4 linked regions of the Pelodiscus sinensis genome follow. The main gene of each other region encodes a partner of the protein of the gene in region 3 in a complex. Links are inferred from orthologs where the notes say so. Each region holds a gene or a part of one and is shown on either strand. Other genes may lie near its edges. The genes, in order: NUP153, NUP93, NUP214 and NUP85.

The links.
Region 1: NUP214 (region 3) and NUP153 share a complex: the UniProt entries of both Homo sapiens proteins name them as parts of the nuclear pore complex. The link is inferred for Pelodiscus sinensis from reciprocal best matches to the Homo sapiens genes NUP214 and NUP153.
Region 2: NUP214 (region 3) and NUP93 share a complex: the UniProt entries of both Homo sapiens proteins name them as parts of the nuclear pore complex. The link is inferred for Pelodiscus sinensis from reciprocal best matches to the Homo sapiens genes NUP214 and NUP93.
Region 4: NUP214 (region 3) and NUP85 share a complex: the UniProt entries of both Homo sapiens proteins name them as parts of the nuclear pore complex. The link is inferred for Pelodiscus sinensis from reciprocal best matches to the Homo sapiens genes NUP214 and NUP85.

What each region holds. Positions count from the first base shown.
Region 1 is NC_134712.1:108,543,981-108,550,942, reverse strand, and holds the start of NUP153 (nuclear pore complex protein Nup153), read left to right. Parts: upstream 1-3,962; 5' UTR 3,963-4,077; coding exon 4,078-4,197; intron 4,198-4,325; exon of another isoform or gene 4,326-4,551; coding exon of another isoform or gene 4,552-4,650; intron 4,651-6,962. UniProt on the Homo sapiens protein: Component of the nuclear pore complex (NPC), a complex required for the trafficking across the nuclear envelope. Functions as a scaffolding element in the nuclear phase of the NPC essential for normal nucleocytoplasmic transport of proteins and mRNAs.
Region 2 is NC_134722.1:43,933,517-43,940,733, reverse strand, and holds the start of NUP93 (nuclear pore complex protein Nup93), read left to right. Parts: upstream 1-4,214; 5' UTR 4,215-4,319; intron 4,320-5,053; exon of another isoform or gene 5,054-5,206; intron 5,207-5,452; exon of another isoform or gene 5,453-5,788; intron 5,789-7,217. UniProt on the Homo sapiens protein: Plays a role in the nuclear pore complex (NPC) assembly and/or maintenance. May anchor nucleoporins, but not NUP153 and TPR, to the NPC. During renal development, regulates podocyte migration and proliferation through SMAD4 signaling.
Region 3 is NC_134732.1:14,188,116-14,196,080, reverse strand, and holds the start of NUP214 (nuclear pore complex protein Nup214), read right to left. Parts: upstream 3,006-7,965; 5' UTR 2,892-3,005; coding exon 2,850-2,891; intron 1-2,849. UniProt on the Homo sapiens protein: Part of the nuclear pore complex. Has a critical role in nucleocytoplasmic transport.
Region 4 is NC_134730.1:12,413,173-12,420,345, reverse strand, and holds the start of NUP85 (nuclear pore complex protein Nup85), read left to right. Parts: upstream 1-4,163; 5' UTR 4,164-4,263; coding exon 4,264-4,296; intron 4,297-4,953; coding exon 4,954-5,044; intron 5,045-6,169; coding exon 6,170-6,332; intron 6,333-7,079; coding exon 7,080-7,150; intron 7,151-7,173. UniProt on the Homo sapiens protein: Essential component of the nuclear pore complex (NPC) that seems to be required for NPC assembly and maintenance. As part of the NPC Nup107-160 subcomplex plays a role in RNA export and in tethering NUP96/Nup98 and NUP153 to the nucleus.

The sequences.
Region 1 (6,962 bases), on a different chromosome or scaffold from region 3:
CCTGCAAGGTGGTTAGTTTACTGAGTGTCTGCAGGCATAGAGCCCTGCAGCAATCAGTTGATGTGATTCAATGTTCCTGGCCAATGGGAGGTGTGGGAAGTGGTGGCCTGGCTTGCAGGTGTAGTAAGGACATGCTAAATCGACCACTGATCATGCTCCTGTTGACTCCAATACTCCACTGGGTCATGAGAAGTAAGGGAAGTTGAGAGAGTTTTTCCTGTTGACTCTCCTCAGTGGGGATGCTGTGGTAAGTCAAATTAAAGTACGTTGACTCCAGCAATGCTGTTCACAGAGATGGAATTGCATACTTTAGTTTGACTTTGCCCACTAGTGTAGACCTGGCCTTAGGCTCTACAGGTTTTGCCCTGGGGCAGTGGCTACTGCTGCTCTTCCTTTTCAATTTGGTGAGTTACTAACTGGCTGGAAAACTGGCTGGAAAACTGTCCTGCACTACTTGTGTTGGAAAGAGGAGCTGGGGTTGCTGTGGGGGAGTTCCCAGATGGCAGGAGGATGAGACTAGGGCTATTTTGGATTGGGACTTCTGAAGAATGTGCCTCTTTCCCCTCCCTCCATCTTGCCCCCCATGTTTAGCACTTAGCATCAGGGCAGGGAAGTGCCACTTCAAGGGCCTATGTATCTATTGTCCAGGAGCCCCTTGAAGCTACTTAGGGTCTCCTGCCCTGGAGCTGAGTGCACTGTGGGAAAGGAGAACATTGGGACTAGGTAGTGGACAGAACCAGGTGGAGGGAGAAGAAAGGCAGTGAATAGTTTCTTTGAAGGTGTGGCTTCTGCCCATGGCACCATGAGCTTCATGAAAGTACTGTCCATTGGGCCATTTGCCCCTTTCTCCCATTGTTTTGCAGAAGGCTCCTGTGATATGAAGGAGTGGCCCTAATCACCCTTTGTTTTCTTCTGATCCTTCCAGTAAGAGCAGTGCTAGGCATGCTAAGCACTGTATAAACACATTTGTCAGACAATCTTTGCCCCCCAAAATTATTTAATTTTATGATTATTAACTTATACTAGCAGTCGCTAAGGTCTTGGGTCAGCAAAAGTGCTATAACATAGTGGGCTACGTCTAGACTGGCATGATTTTCTGCAAATGCTTTTAACGGAAAAGTTTTCCATTAAAAGCATTTGCGGAAAAGAGCGTCTAGATTGGCATGGACCCTTTTCCGCAAAAGCACTTTTTGCGGAAAAGCGTTCATGCCACTCTAGATGCGTTTTTGCGCAAAAAAGCCCCAATCGCTATTTTCACGATGGGGGTTTTTTGTGCAAAACAAATTTGAGCTGTCTACATTGGCCCTTTTGCGCAAAAGGACTTTTGCCCGAACAGGAGCAGCATAGTATTTCCGCAAGAAGCACTGATTTCTTACATGAGATGGTCAGTGTTCTTGCGGAAATTCAAGTGGCCAGTGTAGACAGCTGGCAAGCCAATGTTGTTTCTCCAACAATCTATGCAGCTATCCCTCAAAAATACTGAGTCTTCATAGTGGATGCAAGATTTTGTCTCCTGCAGATTGCTGCTCCCTACTGTTGAGTTTTCATTCCTGGGTTGAAACAGTCCCAGTTCTCTTGTAGGTTTGTAAGCAACTATGCAAAGAATTTAACTAGTAGCTTCTGTCACTTTCCCTTTAGGTTCTTGGATTTGGCTTTACCCTGTAGCCTGCATGCTGAGACTGGCCTGATCATGGTCAAACTGTAATTTACTCATACAAAAAAGCAAAATGCTTTTGCAACCTCCCTCCCCAAGATGGAGGAAGGAAAAACAGGATCTCTGGATCTAGATGTGGAGCACATACACCTGTCAGTGTGTCCCACCATCCTAGCTGGGGAAAGCACAGATGATCAGTTTCTCCTTGGAGACTAGTGTAGAAATGTTAGTAAGTTTTTCTCCTTGTTCAGAAGTCTGTTTGTGCAAATAGTAAATGAGCCCCTATAAGTGTTTGTGTGTGAGTGGATTTTGGAAGTGTAAAGACTTGGGGGTAGGGTGGAGCTGGGTGGATGGGGGTTGAAGACAGAGATTGTGAATAATTTAGAAAGAAGAAAGGGCAATTGGGAAAGAGGAACTGATGCAGGGTAGGAGAAGGGAGAGGACACTGCTCTGCAAAAGGGATGGGGAGGTGCATAAGTCTCTGAATGTTGATATCCAAGTTAGAAAATGTTGATGTAGAGAGTTTTTATTTCAACTTGATTTTATACCTGTGCACAACATACTTAAGCTGTGATGAGAACTCCTGTAGGGTTTCCACTCTTTCTGTGGAACCTGCTAACAGACAAGGAACAACTCTTTTCCACTGTCCCACACAGCTCTCTCTTGCTTGGCTTCTTGTCCCATTATCTTCACATCATTCCCAGCTTGTTCTAGCCTAACCTTTATTATAGGCAATGCCAGTAAATTATTTTAGTAACATTCTTTCTGTCTGGATTTTTCCATGTCTTCCACACCTGATTTAATTTTTTTTCCTATTGCTCTCTTGATTTTCTTTCAGCAGTTTGGAAGGGCTGCTTTTTATTGACTCCTGCCGTGTGTCCATTGTTTCTCTGATGTCTGAAGGCTGTGACCATGAAGGACTTTGCCCATTTTGTTTTAATAGGGCATCTCATGGTCTTTCAGCCTCATCTAAACAGTGTTCTGAGCCAAAGCTGAGGATAGCCTAGTTGGAATTCTGGCTCTCTTGTACCTCCTGAGATGAGCCTTAGGGATAATTTGGGGCTTAGTTTTGGGATCCAACTACATTATTCACCACTTCAATTATCTTTGTCAATGTTGTAGAGAATCCCTCCCAAAGTTAATTCAGTTTTAGGGCTCCTACCAAGACTGTGGAATCTATTAGGTCCTCCCAAAAATGTTTTCCCATATGAACTGTTTGTTAAAGTTTTTTAATTTTCAAATGCTTTCAGATTTTCCCAAGGAAATGTGGGCATTTTCAGTTTGGGGCTGTGGAATATCTCTATAGTTCAAGTGATACAAATTTCTTTGTTCCTTCCCAGAAACTCTGCAGAAGATGTTTCCCGGGGTCTTCAGTTTATCATAATATGAAGTGAATTGGGATATATTTTGTACTTTCATTGACTGCTATTTTATAGGCTGTCAAAAGAATATATGCTTGGTTATGGCCAATTTGATACTTTTCTAAAAAGATAGTTTGCTTAATCCTTTTTGGCCTATTCCACCTTCTCCCATAAGATGTGAGTCTTATGAATCCCAGAATTTCATAAAACTGTTGTAATACTTTTGATTCTAAATTTCCCCCTTCATCTGTTTGCTGATTACCTGGAACTACAAATCTGGTGAAGAATTTGGTCACTAAAACCTCCATAGCTAGCCCAGCCTTTTTGTTTGTTACTTATTTAGATTCAGGCTACTGTGTAAAGTATAGCAATCCATCTCCCATATTGGAGAGAGAAACAAATGAAATTAATGACTGTCAGAAATGATTGATTCTTTCACAAGTCAATGAAGGCAATTTGTAGGGCAATATCTTCTCTATAAAGCTAGCTGGAATGATATTTTTATATTTTACACCCTATTTCACATATTTGTAAGTATAATGGACCAGAGCAATCGTGGATATAAATCAGAATCACTTCATTGGCTTGTTTTAAGCACCTCTTTGACACTTTTTGGTTTGTTTTTATTACAATTTATATAACTTGCGTGACTACATTTTTACTACACCTTACAGGTCTGGCTTCACCTAGAAATAGTGCTGACTCTTGTGTGTCACTTGTAAAGGACTTATTTCCGTTAGTACATCATGTGCCTTTCCGTGGTCCTTGCTCTGCCCGGCACCACCCATAACTCCGCCCCTCCCTTTGCACTGTGGCGGGTTTTATAACACCAACCAGAATCTAGCCCCCAAATAATTGGTTTATGAGCCAAGGCTGTTAGGGTCTAGTAGCAGACGTGACTCCTTTCCCACGTGTTCGGAAGCCTACCACAGAGAGGTCGGGCGCTCAATAAATCATGACCAAGCCTTGAAAATCGCAAGATCTAAAGGACGATACGGGGGGGCTGTCCTGCTTATTTGCCTTCAGGATTTTCTCTGCAACCTGTGAGGGGGTTTTTGCTCAATGCCCGCTGCGATCAGCTTCAGGAAAACCACGCAGAGCCTGAGCCGGGCTCGGTCTCCAACTACCTCCTCCTCCCTGCCCCGCGCCAGCCTCTGCGCTCCCCGAAACTACACTTCCCATGTGCGTTCGAGGCAGGGAACGCTCCTGGGGAAAGTCGCGTCAGGATGACGCATCCCGAAGTGCGCGAGTTAGTGACGCGACGCGCCCGGGCGGGCGCTGTGTGGTTGGTCGGACGGGGAGGGGGGAGGGGTGCACGGACTCGGCCGCGGCGCGGGCGGGACGGAGCCGGCAGCAGCGAGCGCGTGAGGCCCCGGAGCCCGCGAGACAGGCCTCGCGGCGCGCGGCGGGGGCATCGCCATAGAGACAGTGACAGCACAGAGAGGAAGAGGGCGCGGGCGGCGCGGCCGGGCCGCGGGGGGAAAGAGGAGCGAGCGGGGGCCGGGCCCGCTCTGCGCCGGGGGGCCGGATCCCAGCATGGCCTCGGGCGGGGGCGGCGGCGGCGGCGGCGGGGGGAAGATCCGGACCCGGCGGTACCACCTGGGCGCCTCGAAGCCCTACCCGAGAAACAAGCAGGTGAGAGGATGGGCCGGGCCGCGCCGCTCTGCCAGGCCCAGGCGGGGGCTTTGACTCACAGCGGCCCGCGGGGTCTGGGAGCCGCCGGGCGGGGTGAAGCATCCCCGGGCTCTGCAGGCCCCACGTGGTGTGGGGCTGGGAGTGGGCAGCGGTGGGGCGAGTGGAGGATCGGGCCGGCGCGGGGCGCTGCGTGGCGGGAGGGCGCTGGGGGCGTGTGAGGAGCCGCGGCTCGGGGTGGAGGGACGAGTGAGGCTGGGGGGGGGGGGGTTCCTGCGAGGCGGGATGTGCGTGTGTGTGGGAGGGGGCTTTTCCCCGGGGCTGGGGGTGTGTGTCCATGTGCGGGGGTTTCCTCTCGGGCAGCGGGGAGGAGTTTGAGGGATTTCCCTTGGGAGCGCGCGCGGGGTGTGTGCGTGTGTGGATGTTTTAGGGATTTCCTGCCTTTTTTTTTGGTGAAGCTGGGAGGGGTCACGGGAGGGAAGAGGAAACGTGTTTAGCAGTTGGTGCCATGTGTGAATTCACCCCGTCTCAATTTGCCTCAGACAGTTTTGTCGGTGTGGGTGGGGGGGAAATAAAAGCACTGGAAGGAAAAATCTGGAGTTCGTTTCCTGTCACACAGACGAGCGGGTGTAGGCTGCAGACTTTCCCAAGATGTAAACTTTTTGATGCCCACCCTGTTATACTTCTTAGCCTTTGGGGTGATATAGCTACGCTCTTTTTCTATACTACCCAATTTACTACAACTTACTGGTTGCTTTCTGGCTCAGATTGCCAAAAGGTATTTATACATCAGCAGGAATAATTTGGGTTTACTGTGGGATAAACTTTATACACAATCAGGGCAAACTACTAGATGACATTAGCTTAAATAGGTATTTAGTTATAATGCAGTGAATTTTGATATTTGAATGTCTTCAAAATCAAACTAGCCAATTCTTTCATCTACAAATTTCAAAATATCTTACAAGCCACTTTGTAGGGGCAGTATGTGGTTATTTGTCCTTCTTACAAGCCACTTTGTAGGGGTAGTGTGTGGTTATTTGTCCTTGTGATCATTTCAGTAGGCTACAAGTTCATAAGCTTCAACCCCTCACTATAAATTTTTCTAGTACTGCCATTCCATATATCTCTGTTGTTAGCACATTGTGGGTGGTAATAATATTAAAAACTATTTTAATTGGTTTTCCAAGTCTTGCTGAAATGGTGGCTAAAGAACACAACTTGTTTATATATTACAGCACTTTGTATTAGTGGGAATTTTTCGGCAAACAAAAATCCAGAAACTAGGTGGGATTGGTTGAGGACAGGCAAAATAGGTCTTTCATTATTATTGTGTTTGCTCCTAGGTGTTTTAAGGTACTTGTATATTTATCTATTGTACAGATCTTATCTGTGTAGGTATATATGTATTTATACATGAATGCAAAAACTAGGTTAATACATTATTTAACAAGTAATCTGAAAAGCTAGGAAGTTCAGTTATGTTCTGTTTTCATATACAGTGAAGAGCTATATTACATAAATTTCATAAGCTGCTATTTCTTAAAATAATAGAAAGGAATTATTATTTTAAAAAAATTAAGTATACATGTACAATTGCATAACACTGTTATGCACCTGTCCCTGAAGCTCTAGGACAGGGGTTCTCAATCTTTTCGTTTCTGAGGCCTCCCCCCAAATATGCTGTATAAACTCTACAGCCTACCTATGTCACAACAATTGTGTGGGTTCTATTTCATATAAAAGCTAGGGCTGTTATTTGGGGGGTAGCAACCAGGGCAGTTGCCCAGAGCCTCATGTGATGGGGCCTGCGAAGCTAAGCTGTTCAAGTTTCATGTTAATGTTTGGGTGGTGGGGCTTGGGTGGTTGGGTTTTAGCTTTTTGTCCCTGGACCCAGTGAGTTTAATGATTGCCCTGCTTGGCGGAGCCCTTCAAACCTGCTTCTGTCCCTTCAAGGAGCTTTGGACCTCTGGTTGAGGACTACTGCTTTAGTAATTTAATGACATCTAAACAGGAAAATGAATTTCTTCATGTCTAAGTATAGTATTGAATAGGGATGTTCAATGGTTAAGTGATAAGAATGAGGCTTAATGGTATGCTTATTAGTTAACCAGCCTTTGCCAATTAATTTCAGCGATAGCCGCGTCAGACTGGAACATCCTTGGCCCTGGAGGGGGCTAGTAGGCAAGGTGGTGGGATTCCACCGTCATAGTGGGACCTCACAGTGGGGTCAGGAGTTGGGACTGAGGATAAAACCATTAACTGGTTAAGTGTTATCTTGTAATCTGTTAACTGTTTTAACTTCCTTAGTATTG
Region 2 (7,217 bases), on a different chromosome or scaffold from region 3:
CTGTTTACCTCAGACCATTTCTCCAGTTTGTCCAGATCATTTTGAATTATAGTCGTGCCATCCAAAGCACTTGCAACTCCTCCCAACTTGGTATCATCTGCAAACTTAATAAGTGTCCTCTCTATACCAATATCTTACTTGATAAAGATATTGCACTGGTTCCAAAACTGATCCTTGTGAAATCCCACTCGGTATACCCTTCCAGCATGACTGTGAACCATTGATAACTACTCACTGGGAATGGCTATCCAACCAGTTACGCACCCACCTTATAGTAGCCACATCTAGATTGTATTTCCCTAGTTTATTAATGAGAAGGTCATTCAAGACTGTATTAAATGCTTCACTAAAGTCTAGTTATACCACATCTACCACTTCCCCCTTATCCACAAAGCTTGTTATCCTATCAAAGAAAGCTATCAGGTTGGTTTAACATGATTTGTTCTTTTTGCAAATCCATGCTTCCTGTTACTTACTACCTTTTTATCTTCTAGATGTTTGCAAATGGATTCCTTAATTATTTGCTTCATTTTCTTTTCTAGTACAGTAGTTAAGCTGATTGGTCTGGAGTTCCCTGGGTTGCCTTATTTCCCTTTTTATAGATGGACACTATATTTGTCCTTTTCCAGTCTTCTGAAATCTTCCATGACTTTTCAAAGATGACAGTTAATCGCTCAGATATCTCCTCAACCAGCTCCTTGAGTATTCCATTATGCATTTCATCAGGCCTTGCAGGATCAGATCCAGGGATTTCAATAACTGAATAGTCCCTATGCTGGGATGCAAGGAGGGAGCCTTTTTGAACCCACACTGTCACCTTACAAATCTGTGCCAATTTAGTCCATACTAATGGCTTGGAGTCTTGGTTGCATCTTGCAGGAAATGGGAGCTATTAACCAAACCCCAACCTGGAATTCTTTCTTCCTAATCAAATTGGATGGAAGAACAATCTTATGCCCAAGCCAAGGGCAGGGAATCTCTGTGTATTCCTTGTGTTTCCTGTAATTTTGCAAATCACTATTGTGCACTATAGAAACTTTAAAGGACTGCAGAAAAAAGAAAACATATTAAGAAAAAAATCCTCCCTCTACTATCTTTATGGTAGACAGTTGGTATTTTGAAGTAGGATGCTGGATCCAGTGTCCTTGAAGGCCAGTGTCTGATGCTGGTATTATGAATGTCAGACACCAGACGATCACGCAGCTCCATGTCACCAGTGAGGCAGACAGCATGAAACAAATCCAGATGGCAAGGTAAAAAACTATGAGGCAGGAGGGAAGGACAGCTGTTCTCTGGCTGCCTTTTAAATAATGTTGCTGATCTTTCAACAAAAGCACTTAAAAGCCTTCAAACAGGCAGCATCTTTAGCTATTTAACCCTCCGGCAGCAGCCAAAACTAGTAAAATGAGACTGGGAGAATCTGCTCATGAAGAGGATTTGTTAGCGTTGGCAAGTAGTGCATATCTGGAGAGAGAAAGGGGGAAGCAATCACTTTCTTATACTCCCTTGGCTATGTCTAGATTGCATCCCTTTTTCGTAAAAGGGATGCAAATTAGACGTATCGCAATTGCTAATGAAGCAGGGATTTAAATCTCCCCCGCTTCATTAGCATCAAAATGGCTGCCGCTTTTTTTCAGCACGGAGCTTTGCCGGAAAAAAGCGCCAGTCTAGATGCAGATCTTTCGGAAAATAAAGCCTTTTCCGAAAGATCCCTTATTTTAAGAGGGATAAGGGATCTTTCGGAAAAGGCTTTATTTTCCGAAAGATCCACGTCTAGACTGGCGCTTTTTTCCAGCAAAGCTCCGTGCCGAAAAAAAAGCAGCAGCCATTTTTATGCTAATGAAGCGGGGGAGATTTAAATCCCCGCTTCATTAGCAATTGCGATACGTCTAATTTGCATCCCTTTTACGAAAAAGGGATGCAATCTAGACGTAGCCCCTTGTGTGGCAATTTGATGTATTTGTGATTCCACATGGCACAAGAGGGGCATCATTAATTTTCACATTGTTAAATGAAACAATTATTATGCCTGGATGCCATAAACTTATGTATTCTAAAGGAAGATGTTTACAGAAGAAATTCAGGATGGGGTTATGTTGGAAAAAGTCCTTCCCTGAAATCAGCCAGGCTGTAGGGTCAGAAATAGATTTCTAACCTTAGGGGTTTTCTAAGGGAATTTCCACAGCCCACCAAGTGGGTAGCACCAGCTAGGAAGTGGGCATGGATGGGGCAGACGACTAAATCAGTGATTCTCTTCAGTAGCCTTAGCTAGTACAGCTTCCTTAGGGTATGTCTGCACTAGGAGATTATTTCAAAATAACTAAATTCAAAATAATAACTTCTGAAATAAAACCAAAGTGTCCCCACTACAGGGGAGTCTTGAAATTAGTATAAGGCAGGCTCCATTGTTGTGGACATGATACCTCAACTTTGAGCCCCAGGAAGCACTGGGGAATATTACTTTGAATGACTTTAGGGAGCAGTTATTTTGAAATAGCAGCAGTGGAGTGTCCACAGTAACGCTATTTTGAAATAACCATTATTCTTCGAGGAAAGCAATACAGATTTTGAAATAACCAGGCCATTGTTTTGAAATAATAGGCTTGGTAGTATGGATGTTTCGCTTATTATTTCAAAATAAAGAGGGTTATTTTAAAATAACTTCTTACTGTAGATCAGGGCTTAAGAGTCCTAACTGTAAAACAAAGTTGCTCAATTCCCTAGTAGTAATCTTGAGCTGTAGGGTGGTGATTGTACCACAGTTGCCCATCCTTTGAATGCCTGTGGTTAATTTACATCGCTCTGCAGCAGCCCTCTGGAATGTGGCCATACATACAGCTGAAAAGTGTATAAATGGGACATTTTTGTTAATTCTTACCCCCATACCAAACTGAACTAGAAACTAGGAACCAAATCCTTCTGCCAGTCGTGTGATCCAGCAACTCCCCAGACCAGAGAATCCCTTCTGTTGGCATAGGTAAATGCTATAGCAGCACACAGCACAGGGCATGGTGGGCATAAATCAGGAGTAACTCCATTGCTGTCACTGCAGCACACGGCTATAAGGCAGAGGGACCCATGCTCCTTGTCTGCCTAGTGCGTGGGTGAGCAATAATTTTTGGAGGGGGGGCCACTTCGAGATTTTGGAAAGCGGTGAAGGGCCACACTTTTCTGTGGAGGGCATACAAGGTCCAGGATGGAGGTTGGGCACAGAGGGTAAGGGACTGAGGTGCAGGAGACAGTGTGAGGTCTGAGAGGAAGTTTGGGCAAAAGAGGGAGTTGTGACCTGGGTTTGGGGATAGGGTCAGCGAGGGGTATGGGTGCAGGAGAGGGTTCTGGCCTGAGAGAGGGGCACTAGAGCTATGTCTACACTGGCGGGTTCTTGCGCAAGAATGGCCATTCTTCTGTAGAGCATCCATACTGCTCGCCTGCTCTTGCACAAGAAGGTTTACAGTAAAGTGTGGTAAGAGAGGACTTCTTGCACAAGAAGCTCTCTTGTGCAAGAGGGCAGCGTGGAGGCGCAGCAGGGGTTTCTTGCACGAGAAAGCCCTATGGCTAAAATTGCCATCAGAGCTTTCTTGTACAAGAGAGCGTCCACACTGCCATGGGTGCTCTTGCGCAAAAGCACATGGCAGTGTGGATGTGTTCTTGCACCTGCCAGTGTAGACAGTGTAGCCGAGGTGGGGGTGCAAAGTCTGGGAGGGAGCTGTGACCTGGGAGAAGGGGAAAAGGGGATGCAGGCTATACCGGGTGTGGGTAGTGACTTGGGGCAGGGGAATGGGGTGCAGGGTCTGGGAGGGTGTTGGGGTGCAGGAGAGGATTCTGGCCTGGGGGTGGGTATAGGGGGGTACAGGGTCTGGGAGAGAATTGTGTCCTGAGGCAGGGGGGTGCAGAGGGTTAGGATGGTGACCTGGGGAGTTGGAGTATGTATAGGAGGCACAGGGGTGCCAGAGGCTGGGCTCCCTGCCTGCTGCAGCCCCAAATGACTGACAACGGCAAGCTGCAAACACCACGTGGCGCTCAGCTCTGGGAGGGGAAAGAGATTTGCGGGGCTCCCATCCTCCAATCTCTCAGATCTTATTGGCTGGTTGTTTCCAGCCAATAGGAGCTCAGAGATTGCCGGGGTCAGTTCCTATTGGCCGGTTGTTTCTGGCCAATCGGAACTAAGGCTTGGGCTGGGGGCGGGGAGATGGCAGGACGCTTCCCCCTCCCTGCAGAGCGGAGAGAAGCGGGGACTGAGCTCTGTGCTACGTGCCTGGGGGGGTCCCGGCAGGGGGGCCCGCGGGCCGGATCCAGTGGCCCTGGCCTAGTGACCGCAGGCAAGGCCATCAGCCCCCTGCTCAGGCAGCGATCGCGCCTCCTACCCGCCTTGCTTAGTTAATTTCGCCACGTGCGGGCTCTTCCCATCCCAGGCTCGTTCTGGTGCAGGGCAGGCGGAGCGCACAGCGGGCTTGAGAGCGGTGCGTTCAGCTGTTTCTGCAGTGCCAGGCCCCAGGCAACCTCAGGCAGCTGGGCCCCCTGCCCAGCCCCAGCACGGATGCGATGGAGCGGGGCCTAGGCCAGGGCACCAGCTGCCTCAATTGCCGAGGTGCGGATGGATCCGCTCCTACTAGGTTCCCGCTGGGCTCTGGCCAATGGCCCCTACACACCCCGCACCACTAGGGATTTCCCCACCTCGCCCGGCCCCCAGGGACCCCACTCTGGGCCCGACGCCCGCTGCCCACCAGGGACCCCACTCTGGGCCCGGCGCCCGCTGCCCCCCAGGGACCCCACTCTGGGCCCGGCGCCCGCTGCCCCCCAGGGACCCCACTCTGGGCCCGGCGCCCGCTGCCCCCCAGGGACCCCACGCTGGGCCCGGCGCCCGCTGCCCCCCAGGGACCCCACGCTGGGCCCGGCTCCCGACGCCCCCGGGGACCCCACGCTGGGCCCGGCGCCCCGGGGACCCCACGCTGGGCCCGGCGCCCGCTGCCCCCCAGGGACCCCACGCTGGGCCCGGCTCCCGGCGCCCCCGGGGACCCCACGCTGGGCCCGACGCTCCAGGGACCCCACGCTGGGCCCGGCGCCCCCGGGTCCGAATCCCTCGCTAAGCGTTTCAACCAAGCTGAGCTGACGTCAGTGGCGCGGGGGCCGCTGGGGGAGCGGCGCTTCCTCCAATCAGCGCGCCCGGCGCGGAGACAGCGGCTCCCGCAGCGGAAGGAGGCGGCAGGTAGGCGCGAGCTCAGGCCGGCGGGCGGGGGCGCCTCGTGCTCGCGGCTACCCCCACCCCGCCCCCGGCGGTGCCGGCCTGGCGAGGGGCCCTGGGCCCACGGGGGCGCCCGGGGACTGTGCCAGGGGCGCTCCTCGGTCCGGTGGCCTTGGGCTCGTTCCTTAGCCCCTCGGCCGCGCCTCAGGGGATGGGGGCGGCCCGCGGGGCGATGCCAGGCTCCTCTGGCGTGTCCGCCCCTTCCCCGCCGGAACCGGCTCCGCCTGCCCCGCCGCCCGCGCGGGATGTGTCCTGCCCGGTGACCGGGCTGCGGCGTAGCCGGGCGTGTCTCCAGTGTCTCCGTCCGGCGCCTTGCCCGAGGGAGCTAAGCACCCCTCCACACGGGCGCCTGGTTCCCCAGAGAGTCCCGCCCACAGTGCTTGGCACCTGTTTGGGCCCGGAGTACCCAGGGGTTTCTTCATGCGGCCTGGATTGGGCTGGTTTATTGTAGCCTCTGCTTAATGCTGCAGCGCAGCACTACATAGGCACGTAGGACAGGGATCTGGAGGAAAAGTCTGGGATCTAATTGAAACGCCATTTGGGAATGTAAGTAGGTGGAATGGGAGGCCTTGCGGAGTACTCTGTCTGCTGGTAGACTAGTGATAGAGATGGAGCCGGGTTAGTCTGGTGTAGCTGAAACAAAAAACAGGACTATGTAGCACTTTAAAGACTAACAAGATGGTTAGTCTAACGTGATGAGCTTTCTAGGGCCAGACCCAAGTGGGTCTAATAAACCATCTTGTTAGTCTTTAAAGCGCTATGTAGTCCTGTTTTCTGTCTGCTGGCTGCTTGTGTAACCCACACACCTACTGGGTGTGCTGCACTTAGATGCTTAGAGAGAAAGATTGAGTGTGCTCTACTGCCTCAGCTGAAAGCCAGTTGGTCTAAGCTCCAGGGGTCCCCGGTTCAGTTCTGCTGGTGAACCCTACACTTTGTGGCTGATTCTTGCTCATATCTGTGGGGTCATACTAATGGCCGTATGTGGGGGAGAGGGAAAGAATTGTTCCTCAACTCAAATTGGCAATTAACTTGGTAGGGTTTTGCTCCTGCAGCATGAGTGCATGGTGGGGTCACTTGTCACATTTATCTGGGTATATCTCACAATCATTTTCCTGCATTTGTGTCCTTGCTATTCACTGCCTAAGGCACTTAACAGTCTAGTCACCTGTGGGCTGCAATACTTTGGCATAGTTTTGGTTGTTGAATTTAGTGTTCAGATGGGTGGTGGTGATCTGTGATGGATAGGCGGTCCACCTAGATTGCGGTCCTCAATCTTTTTCTTTCAGAGCCTTTCCTTCCCCCAATATGCTATACAAACTCCATGGCTCACTTGGGCTACAACAATTGGTTTTCAGGTATAAAACCCAGGGCTGGCATTATGGCAGGGATGGGCAATAATTTTTGGCCAGGGGCCACTTCAGAAACTTTTGAAGTAGCCCTAGGCCACCCAGGAAAGGATGGGGCCTCAGGTAGAAGGAGTGGGGCTAGGACACTTCTGTGCTTTCCCACCCATAGACCCTGCTTGGTCTGGGGATGGGGGATTGTGCAAAGTTCCCCTCCCCCCGGAGAGAATGGCAGTTCCCTCTAGGTACCTGTGCCTGTGGCAGTGAGAGTAGACTTTGCATGCTTCCCCCTGCTGCCCCCAGGTCAGTCAGGGCCTGGGGAGTGGGAGCATGTGAAGTCTCTTGTTCCCTGCTCGCACCCTGCAAGGGAGCAGCAGCTGGCAGTTGACTTTAAGTACTGAGCCCCTTGCATGGCAGGAGGAAACTTCACGTGCTCCCCTTGCCTCTAATCCCTGATTGGCCTGGGGGAGGGGGGAACTGCGTGAAGTCTCCTCCCACTTTGCCCCTGTCCTAAATGCTCCACGCTCCTTGCAGAAGTGCCGCACCCCTTGCAGGGTGAGAGGAGACTGCCCACTTCTCCCCCTCCTGCAGGCCCTGATTGGCTTGTGGGTTGGGGGAGTAGCAGGCCACCG
Region 3 (7,965 bases):
GGATATTTTCATAAATTATCTATTAATAGGTGGGCCATGGACCTCACTTAGCACTTTAATATTGGTGAAGTAAATAATGAAGAATAGGAAAGACTGTTATTAATCTCATGAAACACTATCACCACAATCTGAAACAGGTGCTTTTTGAAATCTCTCTCTGGGACGTCTAACTGAAGAAAGACTAAGACATTTATTTCTTCTTTATCTACTTTATAGCCAGAGCACCAAGTTATTTTCAAGCATCTTTTTAAAAGTATTTCTCTATCAGGTGGCCTAAAATGGACACTGTTCTTTTCACTGTTTCCAAAAATAAACTAGGAAGTCACCGTTTTAATTCCTGACAGGTATTTTTTTTTCAAAAGTCTGATAATCCATAATATACTTATCATTAATAGACAGCATTTGGAGAACATGTAGACTTCCCTAGAAAGTAGCAAAACATTTTCCACTTAAAAAAAAAAGAAAAAAAGACTGTGCATAATGACTAGTACAGTCATTACAGTGATCGCATAAGGGACAATGTTAACTTAAAAGTGGTATATGTATCTGAATATATTTTACCTGCTATTACAGTAATATACTTAAAACTTCCTACCTGCTCCTGTCCTGGACCTACACCGCTCCTGAAAGCAGCTGGCATGTACAGCAATGGCTCCATGTGCTGTCCTTCATCTATAGGCACTGAGCCCATAGCTTCTACTGGCCCCAGTTCCCCATTACAGGCAGTCCCCGGGTTACATGGATCTGACTTACATCGGATCCCTACTTACAAACGGGGTGAGGCAACCCCGCCCTAGCTGCTTCCCCCCAGCAGACCAGGGAGACGCGAAGCTAGCGCCCCCCCAGCAGACCATGGAGACGCGGAGCGGCTTTTCTCAGCAGACACCTCAGCTTGAGAATAAAGGACTGAGGGAAGTGAGGTGTGGGAGAATAAAACTGAGTTCTGGAGAAATGTTTGGCTAGAGTTTCCCCTACGATATGTACCAGTTCCGACTTACATACAAATTCAACTTAAGAACAAACCTACAGTCCCTATCTTGTACGTAACCCAGGGACTGTCTGTACTGATCAATGGGAGCTGCAGGATTGGTGTCTGCAGGCAAGGACAGAACGTGAAGATCCCCTGCTCTACCTTTCTCATGCACTGCAGGGACATGCCAGTCACTCCCAGGAGCAGCAGTTACCATAGGGATAATTACTCCAGCCATGACAGGTTAGGCATTTTAGAACTCACTACTCAAATAATTAAATTTAAGCATAAGAAAGAAATGAAAAGTATGAAATACACAAACCTGTCAAAAACCAAAAACAACATACTTTGCATGCAGTAAAAGAAGTAAAAACAACCCACATATGTGTTGAGTGGGGAGAGAGTGAAGGACAGTTTGTGTTTGTGAGTGACAGACACACACAGTGTTTTTTTTAAATTGTATCCTTTTTTTTTAAATTGTATCCTTTGGTATATATGGTTGTGACTATTTTCTTCCATTATTTGATCTGAGGAAGTGGGTCTGGCCCATGAAAGCTCATCATCTAATAAACCATCTTGTTAGTCTTTAAAGTGCTACATAGACCTGTATTTTGTTTCAGCTACACCAGACTAACACGGCTACATTTCTACCAGTGTGAGAGAGTGAGAGATTTGCATTGACAAGCTCACTCCATCTCTTCTCTGTGTAGAGATAGGATACAGAAGTGGGTGGGAGAAGGAACACCCTGACATCAGCATCCCCCCCCCCTCCCTCCCACATCCTGCACAGCAAGCAGGCGACTCCCAGGGGGCAGCTACAAGGCAGAGGGCATGAGCAGCATGATAGTGGGTGGAGGGGCAATTGAAGTGCCAGAGCGTGATAGCTTCCTGGCCAAACCAGTCAGGATCACCTGTCAAAGGCTCCAAGATCTACTTGTTTGGTGACCACTGCAGTACAAAAAGATTCCCCTCCTTCTTCCCCCTTCTCGAACGTTTACTTTGTGTATTTGACAATAGTTTGCATGTGATCACACCCCCTTGTTGTTTGCATAGAGTTTTGCATCACCAGAAACATAAGGGAAAAAAAGTGTGATTATAAATCACAAAAGCTTTAAGTTACATATAAACGCTGACTGCTTGCAATAAGAATTTAATGGTAACATCTTTACTATGCAGAAAACTTAAAATTCCTTTTGTGATTACAGTCTCACTCCCCAATTCAGACTCCCTTTTGTGTCGAGACCCCCTTTTGAAAAATGCTGGTCTCCCCTGTGAAATCTGTGTAGTACATTCTAAAAACACACAACACACCAGATTTCAAGGTCTGACATGTTTTTCATGGCCATGAATTTGGTAGGGCCCCAGTAACTGTGGCACCTAACATTCCACACCTAACAGCCTGATTTTTTGTAGTGATATGAGCACTCACTAGGATGACCAGACCTTCTATCCCAGCTCTGTCCCCCCGGCCCACAGCCCCTTCCCCCCCAATCCCGCTATCCCAGCTCCCGGCCCACAGCCCCTTCCCCCCCAATCCCGTTATCCCAGCTCAGTTCCCCCGACCCCCGGCCCACAGCCCCTTCCCCCCCAATCCCGCTATCCCAGCTCCATCCCCCCGGCCCCTTCCCCCTCAATCCCGCTATCCCAGCTCCCGGCCCACAGCCCCCTCCCCCTCAATCCCGCTATCCCAGCCCCGCCCCCCCGGCCCACAGCCCCTCCCCCCTCAATCCCGCTATCCCAGCTCCCGGCCCACAGCCCCGTCCCCCGGGACACCGCCCCCCCCACCCAGCTCGCTGACCCCCGAAACTCCCTCATACAACGCCTAGTGCCCCCAAGGCAGGGTACTCCCCCCGTGTCCCCTCAACCCCCCCGCCCATACCTTCATCTCCCGCTCGGGGACCACATCCATATCGTCCCCCATAGCTCCGGCTCAGCCCGTCGCCAACCGCCTGCGCAGGGCTCTGAGGAGCGTTTCCGCTTCCGGCGGCCATCAAGTCTACTCTAGCCGCAGCGCTCTATGGCAGCGCCGCTGGCTCGTGGAGGACCGAGGAAGACACTACGGTAAGACTGTAGGGCGGGGCCTAATGCCAGGGGGCGGGAGCTTTGACGAGGGGGCGTGGCCAAAGGAGGATGGGGCGTGGTAGCTCTTCAGGGCAGTGACTAGTTTGTATAGCACCTAATAGACGGGGGGGGGGGGGGGGCTGCCCCATCATTGGGGCTTCTAGGAGCAACATCAATAAGCAATTCAAACTTGGATCACAGTCAGCACTAGGACATGGATGTAGCTGAATTGTCAGTTTGTAATTTTTTTTTACCTTCTTTCCCTCTGTTATAAAATGGTCATGCCTGTTCACTTTCAGAATAGGATCTGAAGTGGGTCCACCCCACGAAAGCTCATCACCTAATAAACTATTTTGTTAGTCTTTAAAGTGCTACATGACTTTTTTTGTTTTGTTTTACCATGTATTTTCAGAGGCAGGATACAGTTGCCTATAGATGACAATGCTCCTAATAGCAGGAGTCCCCTCTAGTCATCCTACCAGGGATCCAGCCAGTCTGGAAGGCTACTGTTCCTGTTACCCAATTGGTCGTGTTATATTTGCTACACGGCAGTAAATCACCAACATCAACCTTGGGGCAAGCTAGTTATTCCAGTGCTGCCAACTCTCACATTACTTGGTGTTTCAGTTAAAGCCCCAGCTCCTGGAGTCATTATTACATGAGACTTTCAGGTTCTTTTAAAGAATAACAAGCAAATGTCCAACCCTCCTCGTTTTGGGGATGGAAGTGAGGTGTATCTGACCTAAGTGTAGCCTAAAGGCTCAGAAATTGGAAGGGCAGAAACCCCACAGATTTATGTTTTAAGAATTTCATGATTTTTAAGACACTCATGAGTTTGAAGTCTTGGTTTACCATATGCAATGATCAGTATGCACACAGCATACATAAACAGCAGTCAATGCTGCTGCCAGAGTAGTCTATCCTAACATAATTACCATGACAGTGTAGGGCTCTGCATTGTGGGGCTAGATCCACTTTCTGCATTTCAAAGAAAGGAATTCCACATTCCTTGTATGAATGGTCTCCAAGTGAAACATGAAAGTACTATAAATCTCATTTTAAAATATCAGTTTCTGGTTATAGAGAAGCCAGTTAATGTGGCTTCATGTTTACAATTGAACTGCTTAATTTCATTTCCTCCACTGCAGCATGTAACTAATACCCTTTGATGGCATTAGCAATTACTATTACTCTATAGTGGGATTATTAGACCCTTTAAACAAAGCTAAATAGCCACTGCCATTGTGTATGTCAGACTGGACAGGCATGCACACACCAACAAATGAAGGGCAAACAGCAGCATTACTCAAGCAATCCCATGAGACAGCTAGTCTATGAGGGTATGTCTACACTACCCCGCTAGTTCGAACTAGCAGGGTAATGTAGGCATACCGCAATTGCAAATGAAGCCCGGGATTTGAATTTCCCGGGCTTCATTTGCATAAGCGGGGCGCTGCCATTTTTAAATGCCCGCTCGTTCGAACCCCGTGCCACGAGGAGTAACGGTAGTTCAAACTAGGAAGCCTAGTTCGAACTACCTAGTTCGTGCCGCGTGTAGCCGCGCGGCACGGGGTTCGAATGAGCGGGGATTTAAAAATGGCGGCGCCCCGCTTATGCAAATGAAGCCCAGGAAATTCAAATCCCGGGCTTCATTTGCAATTGCGGTATGCCTACATTACCCCGCTAATTCGAACTAGCAGGGTAGTGTAGACATACCCAGAGAGAGCACCTGCCATTAGATCCCTGGAAAAGATAAAAATACTTGTATTTGTAATATCACTCAAATGGATATTCTAGAGCACGAGTAGGCAATTATTTTTTATGCGGGGGGGGGGCGCAATCCAAGATATTGGTAAGTGGTCAAGTGCTTCATTTTTCTGTGGAGATGTGGGGTCTTGGACAGAGGTTGGGTGCAGAAGGGAACTCAGTGTAAGAGACTGGGGTACAGAAGAGGGTCATAGAATCATAGAACCATAGAGCTGAAAGAGACCTCAGGAGGTCATCAAGTCCAGCCCCCTGCTCTAGGCAGGACCAATCCCAACTAGATCAACTGAGCCAGGGCTTTGTCAAGCCGAGACTTAAACACCTCTAGGGATGGAGACTCCACTACTTCCCTAGGTAACCCATTCCAGTGCTTCACCACTCTCCTAGTGAAATAGTTTTTCCTAATATCCAACCTAGATCTCCCCCCACTTGTAATTTGAGACCATTGTTCCTTGTTCTGCCATCTGTCACTACTGAGAACAGCCTCTCTCCATCCTCTTTGGAACCTCCATTCAGGAAGTTGAAGGCTGCTGTCAAATCCCCCCTCACTCTTCTCTTCTGCAGACTAAACAGACCCAACTCCCTCAGGTTCTCCTCATAGATCATATGCTCCAGCCCCCTAATCATTTTAGTGCTGGGTCTCAGAGGGAGTTTGGGTGAAGGAGAAGGTTGTGACTTGGGGTATAAGTGCAGGAAAGGATTCTGACCTGGAGGAATAGTGTGAGAGGGGGTGCAGGCTCTGGGAGGGAGTTGGGGTGCGAGAAAGGGGGGGTACCACAGACAGGCTCTGGGTGGGAGGCGCTTACCTAACCAGCTCCTGGCCAGCAGCACTCTCAGGCAGGCTCCCCAGCCTGCCAGCAGCCCCGGACCATCGAGAGTGGCTAGCTGTTCCATGTGGATCTCTGCACTTTATGGGGAGCAGGCGGGGGGGAGGCTGTGTGTGCTGCACTGCCCCCACCCCAGCACAATCTCTCAGTTCCCACAGGCTAGTTTAATGCAATTTATATTATCTGAAGTATGCAAGGATGTGTCACACAGTGAACGATACATTCTGACCTTGCACTGGCCCCAGTGAGGTGTATACATTCTTTAGGGAGGCTGCTAGCAAGGCCTCATCCACATTTCTGACTATGCTGGGGCAAAAGGGGTTTACCACTTGATTTGAGTGACAGGAAATCTACCTGTCATCCACTGGAATGATGAAGCGCAGTCCCACTTGTATAATTCTTTTTGGAAACTCACTGATGGTTTGGCCAATCCATTGTTAAAGTGAAGATGAAGAAGAAGAGTCTTGCTGCTTCTGCCAGACACATGTGCATGTCAAACAGTGACCCTGAAGTAAGCGAGCAGCCAGGAACCAGTGAATGCTTGATTTTAAAAACCCCTTCCTTTGCCCTGTTTGATTCAAACATTGAAGCCTTTGGCTGAAATGGTTTACAGCTATCTTATCCTGATGTAATTTAAGTGCCTATTCAGGGATTTGCACCCCTTTAACTAAAATGATTTGAAAACTAAGGCCACATCTATACTTACTGGTGGATCGATGCTCCAGAGGTTGATTTTCTGGTGTTCAATTTAGCAGGTCTAGTATAGATCCATAAATTGAGGACAGCTCCAGCCAGCACCTGTACTCCTTGCAACTGCAAGGAGTAAGGGAAGCTGACAGGAGCTCCACCTGTGTGGATGCAGAAACGCACTTTAAAATATGTCAACTCCAGCTACATAATTAACATAGCTGGAGTTGCGTATCTTAATTCAACCTCCTGCTGTAGTATAGACTAGGCCTAAGGTTTTAGATCACATGGAACAACTTGAGTTTAGACAGGGATATTGAGTAGCAGTATTAAATACACTGATGCCTCACATAAATGTCAGAAGATTTATTTTCAGTCTGTACAAATAGAGCTGTGCTGCTCTCATCCACAATCTCTCTCTCCATTACAATTCTAAATTCTCATACAAACAAGAACAGCAAGACACTTAAAAAGGGCAGCCTTTGGCAGGCACAATAAGACTAGTTAGAGTTCAAACAATAAATTGGGTATCTGTTTTTTTTTTTAATTTAAACCATGATTTAAAAACCACAAAGTTAAAAGCTGCCAAGGACAAACAAAAAACCCAGAGGGAGAGGGAAGAAACATGATAAGCAATTAAATCCCAGAGGCAAACAACTGGGTTCCAAGAGTTGTAAATACAGAGTACACAGCAGTGTCCAAAGCACAGTCCAGCTAAGTCTCAGTCCTGGGATCCTGGGGAGTCTTTCCCTACCCCCAAAAGGGAGAGACAAGATCCCTGGTTCCCATTAAAAAAAAAAAGGCAAAAAAAACCCCCCAACCCTTTCATGTGTTCCATTTTGTCACGGAATAGTCCCACTGAAGTCAAATGACTCCTCATATGAGTAAATTCAAGCATATAAGAAATATGTTTGTTGAACAAGGCCTAATTTGGGAGATTTTGAGGGCATTAATACAAACAGACTCATCCAGAATTCATTCTGGTCCAGCTTAAGGACTCAGACTGGAGTTCCGTTTCCTACACCTACAGATTCAGCATATCCCAGGCCTTTTCTGTGAAAATTGAAAGCAAAATAGCTGGGCTCATTCTCCCACCATCCCCAGAATTTCAGGTGCAAGATAACAGCTTTTGGAACTGGCCGTTAAAACAGGATTTAGTCTAGGGAAATTGACCAGATTGGTCACTGGAGAAGAGGGAGTCTGCAAGCTTCAGAAGCCAACCACTTATTCACATTACAAGGAAAACAAACCCAATATATTATGTAGTTTTCATTTTAACTATATAAATATAAGCAGACAATGAATTGACAGCTTCTACCACAGATGACAGAACAGAATAGTTTCTCTAGCTTCTAAAAAGGAGACCACAGTGGCAAGGACTTATTGATCCAAGAGGGACCCTCCAGGGGACTTTGCTGTCTGTCTTGCACCAGTCACAGGTGGAAGTTCTTTATCATCTTCCGGTTGGAGGCCTGCGATTGTGATCGTGAGGGCAATTCTTGCCCATTTTTAGACTGCTTGTGACATGCACTTGGGGCTTAATCTTACACCTTGGGCAGGCAAAATAAAGGTGGATGTCAGTGTCTTAGAACTGCAAGTCAGAGGGGGGAAATCCAGGCCTCATTAGAAAGTCAACAACAAAATTCCCATTGATTT
Region 4 (7,173 bases), on a different chromosome or scaffold from region 3:
TCCCCCGCCTGTTCTTCCTGAACAGTTTAGCATGACTGGAGCACTGTCATGGAAGGGTATAGTCATCCCACCTTATCTCTGTGATTCCAATCAAATCATAGTTCTTTGAGTGGGTCAGGGCTTCTAATTCTTCTTGTTTGTTTTCCAGGTTTCTCGCATTGGTGTACAAAAACCTTAGATAACCAGCTGATCGCCTTGCTTTCTCCATCTAAAAGAGGGGTCCTCCTTTGTTGCTCGTTCCTCCTTGTGATTCTTCCCAGTGTCCGACTTCCTCACTTACCTCAGGGCTTTGGTCACCGTCTCCCAATGAACCTAGTTTAAAGCCCTCCTCACTAGATTTGCAAGCCTACCCATGAAGATGCTCTTTCCTCTCTTGGTTAGGTGGATCCCATCTCTTCCTAACAATCCTTGTGCCCAGAACAGAGTCCCATGGTCTAAGAAACCAAAGCCCTCTGACACCACCTGTGCAACCACACATTTACTTCCTCAATTTGATGATCCCTACCCAGACCTTTTCCTTCAACTGGGAGGATGGAGGCGAACACAACTTGCACTTCAAATTCCTTTATCCTTCTTCCCAGCACTACATAATCTGCTGTGACCCGCTCAAAGTCATTCTTGGCCATATTGTTAGTTCCTACATGGAGAAGCAGGAATGGGTAGCGATCCGAATGTTTAATCACTTTCGGAAGTCTCTTGGTCACATCCTGAATGCAAGCTCCCAGTAAGCAGCACACTTCTCGAGATTGCAGGTCTGGACGACAGATGGATGACTCAGTCCTCCTTAGGAGGGAGTCCCCAACCACCACCACCTGTTTTCTTTTGGGGGTGGTAGTCGTGGAACCCCCATCCCTCGGACGAGGCATCCCATGCCTTCTGGTAGATGGTGTTCTCTTCTAATTTCTTCCCTGAGAGATCCCTGCCAAAGCATTCTCCACCGCAGTGCTGTGAAGAAAGCCTGAAAGCAGTTACTTACCTCTACAGGAATGGGGGATACCTGAGTTGGCTTTCTCCTTCTAGAGATGACATGGTGCCAGTTTTCTTCCTTGTCCTGTACTGCCCTGACTGGCTCTTCAGCCTGCTGTGCCTGCAGGATTAAATGCTGCCTTCTATCAAGGAAGTCTTCATCCTTTCTGATAGAATGTAGGGTTGATACCTAGGCTTCAAGTCCTCTAATTTTTTCTTCTAAAATGGTGACCAGCTTGCACTTAGAGCAGATGAAATCCATTCTTTCTTCCGGGAGGAAGACTAACATGGCACATGCTGTGCAGGTAACAACAGCAGACCTATCACCATCCATACCTGCCTTCCTTCTGAGAGTATCCTCAGATGTTATTAAATGCCTCCTTGAAGGGCAGGAGAGAGAAAAGAAAAAAAAATTCAAGGAAAAGAGCACTAAACACTATGGGGGTCTCCTAGGGTGAATTCCCAGGCCAACTCCCAGGTTGGCTGCTGCTCTCTGCGTTTGCTCTGGCTGCCTTTTTAAGAAGGCTGAGGCTAGGCCTGTCTCAAAGCCTTGCCTCTGATGCAATCAACCCCTGAAGGCCCACCAGAGCTTAGGAAGTTTTGATAATAGTTTAGTGAAAAGATTTTTTAAGAACGGTAAGATTTTTTTTTTCCAAACTCCCTCTCAACTCCCTGTTATCAGCCCCTGTTATGATCATAAATGGGGAGGCCTGTCCATAGTACAGGGTAGCAAGGGATGGAGGACTACACTCTACCTTAGAATCATAGAACCATAGAGCTGAAAGAGACCTCAGAAGGTCAAGTCCAGCCCCCCACTCTAGGCAGGACCAATCCCAACTAAATCAACCCAGCCAGGGCTTTGTCAAGCCGAGTCTTAAACACCTCTAGGGATGCAGACTCCACTCCTTCCCTAGTTAACCCATTCCAGTACTTCACTATCCTCCTAGTGAAATAGTTTTTCCTAATATCCAACTTGGACCTCTCCCACCACAACTTGAGACCATTGCTCCTTGTTCTGCCATCTGTCACTACTGAGAACAGCCTCCATTCTCTTTGGAACCTCCCTTCAGGAAGTTGAAGGCTGCTATCAAATTCCCCCTCACTCTTCTCTTCTGCAGACTAAACAGACCCAACTCCCTCAGCCTCTCCTCAAAAGTAATGTGCTCCAGCCCCCTAATCATTTTGGTTGCCCTCCGCTGGACCCTCTCCAATGCGTCCACATCCTTTTTGTAGTGGGGGGCCCAGAACTGGACACAGTACTCCAGATGTGGCCTCACCAAAGTCGAATAAAGGGGAATAATGACATCTCTGGATCTGCTGGCAATACTCCTCTCAATGCAACCTAATATGCCATTAGCCTTCTTGGCTACAAGGGCACACTGTTGACTCATATCCAGCTTCTCATCCACTGTAACCCCCAGGTCCTCTTCTGCAGAACTACTAAACTGGTTGGTCCCCAGCTTGTAACTATGCTTGGGATTCTTCTGTCCCAAGTGCAGGACTCTCCACTTCTCCTTGTTGAACCTCATCAGATTTCTTGTAGCCCAATCCTCCAATTTGTCTAAGTCACTCTGGACCCTATCTCTGCCCTCAAGCATATCTACCTCTCCCCCTAGCTTAGGATCATCCGCAAACTTGCTGAGGCTGCAATCCATCCCCTCACCCAGGTCATTAATAAAGATATTGAACAAAACCGGTCCTAAAACCAAAGCTTGGGGCACTCCACTAGAAACCGAACACCATCCGGACATCGAGCCGTTGATCACTACCCGCTGGGCCCGGACTTCTAGCCATCTTTCTATCCATCTTACCATCCATTTAGCCAATCTACATTCCCTTAACTTGCTGTCAAGAATATTGTAGGAGTCCATATCAAAAGCCTTGCTAAAGTCAAGGTACATCACATCCACTGACTTTCCCACATCCACAGAGCCAGTTACCTCTTCATAGAAGCTAATCAGATTGGTCAGACACGACTTGCCCTTTGTGAATCCATGCTGACTATTCCTAACCACTTTCCTCTCTTCCAAGTGCTTCAAATGGATTCCTTAAGGATCCTTTCCGTGATTTTTCCAGGAACCGAGGTAAGACTGACTGGCCTATAGTTCTCTGGATCGTCCTTCTTCCCTTTTTTGAAGATGGGCCCTACAATTGCCTTTTTCCAATCATCCATGATTTCTCCCAACCTCCATGACTTTTCAAAGATAATGGCCAAAGGCTCCTCAATGACATTTGCCAACTACCTCAGTACCCTCAGATGCATTAACTCCGGACCCATGGATTTGAGTACATTTAGCTTTTCTAAATAGTTCCTAACCTGTTTTTTACCCACCACGGGCTGTCCATCTTCATCCCATCTTGCATCACTTAGCGCATTAGTCTGGGAGCCCACCTTGTCTGCGAATACAGAGGCAAAGAAAGCATTGAGTACTTCAGCTTTCCCTTCATCATCTGTCACTTAACACTCAGAGACTCAAATACCTATATCTGTGTGCAGAATTTACCACCTACAGCATGAATCCAGGTATGGAGCAGGTTAAGCAGTTGCTCCATTACACCAATGTATGCCATCATCCCCACCTATGCAGCTGGAAGGAAGAGAGGCCAGCAGTGGGAGAGCCCTCCAGCTCTGCTAGCACAACTCTCCCACCCCCTTATTTCTGGATCCCTACACACCAGCATGATGTTGCCACAGGCTGTTTGGACTGAGCATGACACCGCCTGAGCCCACCCGCGAGAGCCATTGCACCGCCCTCCCCCGGGACTAGAGCAACGCCCCAGGGGCTGCCGCTCCAGCCTGATGGGCAACGTGAGGGCGCCCCACAGCCAGCGACACCGCCACCCCGCGAGCAGCTGAGCCGAGCCGCCAGCGTTAGGGAGGGACGAGCAAAGAACCCAACCCAATGAAGCCCAACCCACCCCCACCCCTCCGAATGCATTGACTCGGGCCGCCTCTCCCGCTTATATAGCTTCGCGGGGTCCTTCCAGCGCTCGTTGCGCCATCGGGCTGTCTATTGAGCGCCTGCCCCCCATTTCAACATAAAAGCCCCAAAAGGGAGAACTTACCCTCACCCTTTCCAACACACGCAATTCCCCCCCTTCCTAAGGAGCTAGTCGAGAAGCGCAGCTGCAGCAATGTGGCCCAGGTGGCGTAGATTTGTGCAGGCACCGCAGTAGTCAGCTCCGAACTAGGGGCCTCTCTCTCTGCCTGGCGCCCTGAGTGCAGGCGGCCTGTGGTGGCGGCAGAGCTGCTTCGCTTCCGCTGTCCGGCCCCGGCCTGGAGAGCGCGCTGGTGGCATGGAGGAGCTGGATGTGGAGCCGGCGGTCACTGTACGGCAGAGCGAGTCCCTACCTCTGGGGAGGCTGGACCCTCCTCCCCCTGCCAGAAGCTCTGGGGCGGGGGAGGGAACAGGCGAGGGGGGGCCTGCGGGGAGAGGGGCGCGGCTGTGCGGGGCAGGGAGCTGTTGTGCCTCACTTCGGCCCCTCCCCCGTACCTGTGCATTACTGATTATCTCCCTTTGTTAGCACAGATGAGTCCCCCGCGCAAAAAAAAAAAAATGCAATGATCATTAGCGCAGTACCTAGTGCTCTACAAGAGAGGGTAGGATCATTATCCCCGTTTTACAGATGGGCAAACTGAGGGCATCTCTCTTGTATCTGGGAGCAAGCATCCCAGCTTGGTTAGATAGACTTGTGCTAATGGGGCCTTGCCCTAGTGTGCTAAAAATGACTTTGTAGATATTGCTTTTACATTATGGCTCTCAAACCCACCCCATCCTCTCCTGGGGTTAAGAATGCGGGCTGCAACACTAAACAGCTAATTTGAGTTTGCTACTGTGGGCCCCACTACCACAAGCTTGTGGACTGAAATTGGGAGGCTGCAAGGGAGACATACTCTGAAAGAGGAAAAGGAATCCCGCTTGCTTGCTCTGTTGTCATAGAGAGCAGCCACATGCTTGATAGTCCCTCTGCCTTCTTTCCTAACAGCTGATTCCTGGAGTGGACTCCAATCGGAAGCAGATGTGTTTTGACTGGGGACCTGGAGAGATGCTGGTGTGTGAAACTTTGTTCCCAAAAGGTGGATAGCTTCTCTTTCATTTTTGAATGCTTGTCTTGGGTGGATTTTACTAAATATTAATGCAGAGCAAACTGGAGTATTGACAACCTCTAGGCTACGTCTACACTGGCCCCTTTTCCGGAAGGGGCATGTTAATTTCACCTATCGTAGTAGGGAAATCCGCGGGGGATTTAAATATCCCCCGCGGCATTTAAATAAAAATGTCCGCCGCTTTTTTCCGGCTTTTAAAAAAGCCGGAAAAGAGCGTCTACACTGGCCCCGATCCTCCGGAAAAAGCACCCTTTTCCGGAGGCTCTTATTCCTAGTAGGAATAAGAGCCTCTGGAAAAGGGCGCTTTTTCCGGAGGATCGGGGCCAGTGTAGACGCTCTTTTCCGGCTTTTTTAAAAGCCGGAAAAAAGCGGCGGACATTTTTATTTAAATGCCGCGGGGGATATTTAAATCCCCCGCGGATTTCCCTACTACGATAGGTGAAATTAACATGCCCCTTCCGGAAAAGGGGCCAGTGTAGACGTAGCCCTAGTGTTCAGAAACTGTAAATTAGATCCCAAAATAAATTAGCTTAAAATGAGATATTTGAAAATAAGCGTGGGGTTCTTTTTATTGCCTTTTAAAGAATTTGGTGTACGTTCAGATCATGTTTTTCAAGTTTTATTTTGCAACGAGAGCTAGAAACTTCTTGGCCGGTCATTTGATTCTAGGAGTTGAGGCTTCAAGAACACCACCAAATGATGTGAGAGTTAGCAACACTGTTAAACAGCTAAGAGCTGGGTGAAGAATTCAGTCACATTTGTGCACATTAGACTCATACATTCAGTCACAGTAAGCATACATGATCAGACTTAGGAATTATATTGAGCAGATTTGAATTTTCATTATCACATGCAAATTATTAAGGAATTTTGTGGAATTGAATATTACAGAGGGTCTGATATTTTATTAATAGTTTTGTGCCTCTTGTCCTATTTTTGTGCTGACTCCTAGACTTTTTACCAAATAAATTTCCAGTTAATATGTTAAGAACCATTACTGTAAGTACAGAAGTATATTACTATCCAATAGGACTGAGATTCTGCAGAGCCATAGCATTCATTTGGCTATTTTATGGTTTACATGCTTCATTTCAGGACGTGAAGAGAAAGGGCTAGGCTGCCCCAATATTTTCATTGTTCGCAAAGATCAAGATGTGTACTCACAGACATTACGCAAACTCTTCAATGAATCCCATGGGATTTTTGTTGGACTACAGAAGAGTGAGGAAGAATTGGCTGGGAAGTCAAAGAAGGCACAGTGAGTAAACAGAAATGCTAGATACTGTTGAAACAAAAAGAGAACATGTCTGCTTCCCTGTTCCCCATGGAGATCAGTAGTGAGGCATAATTTAGATGTGCCACTTAATAGTGGAGGGCGAAGGCAGGTTGGGAATAGTTCCGTCAGATCTGTTTCTCAAATAGTGTTGCATCTGTGCATCTTGTTAGGTTGGTAAGTTTGTGAGTTACCAAAGGTACAATTCATACAGTATATACCTTTGTTCATTGACTGAATTTAATAAAGAATATCTTGATTGTTCCTTTTATTTGTGCCCACTCTCCTTTACTGTTGATCTCTACTGCCTCATCTGTAGATACGAGGTAGGAGAGCAAATCCCCTATGCCTTTTACAGATTGTCTTGTTAGAATGTGAGGTAAGGTGATACAATAATTATTCTGTGCAGAAAATGACCAGTATATTGTTCCCCTTCCTCTACCAAACATATAAATCTTTCTCCAATGAGTGGAATAATGAAACTGAAATTCTCTTAGCTGGTGAGTCTCAGTAATATTGTGTAACTAATTTTTCCTGTTACCATTTTACAAAATTTGGCCCCAATCCTGCAAATAGACCTCTATGCCTGTGTAGAGCCCCACTGACTTCAGTACAGTGCAGGAGAGATCTGCCTCTTCAGAGAAACTTGTAGGATTGGGGCCCTACTATCCTGTAGGCACAAGACTAACAATAAATAAATCTCTCTAAACAAGATTTTTGTATTCTTCACAGATTGGTTCTAGTGAGTAAAAACTACCGTTCAGTCATAAGAGCTTGTATGGAGGAGATGCACCAGTTGGCTAGTAAGTTATTGTTCTCCATTTAA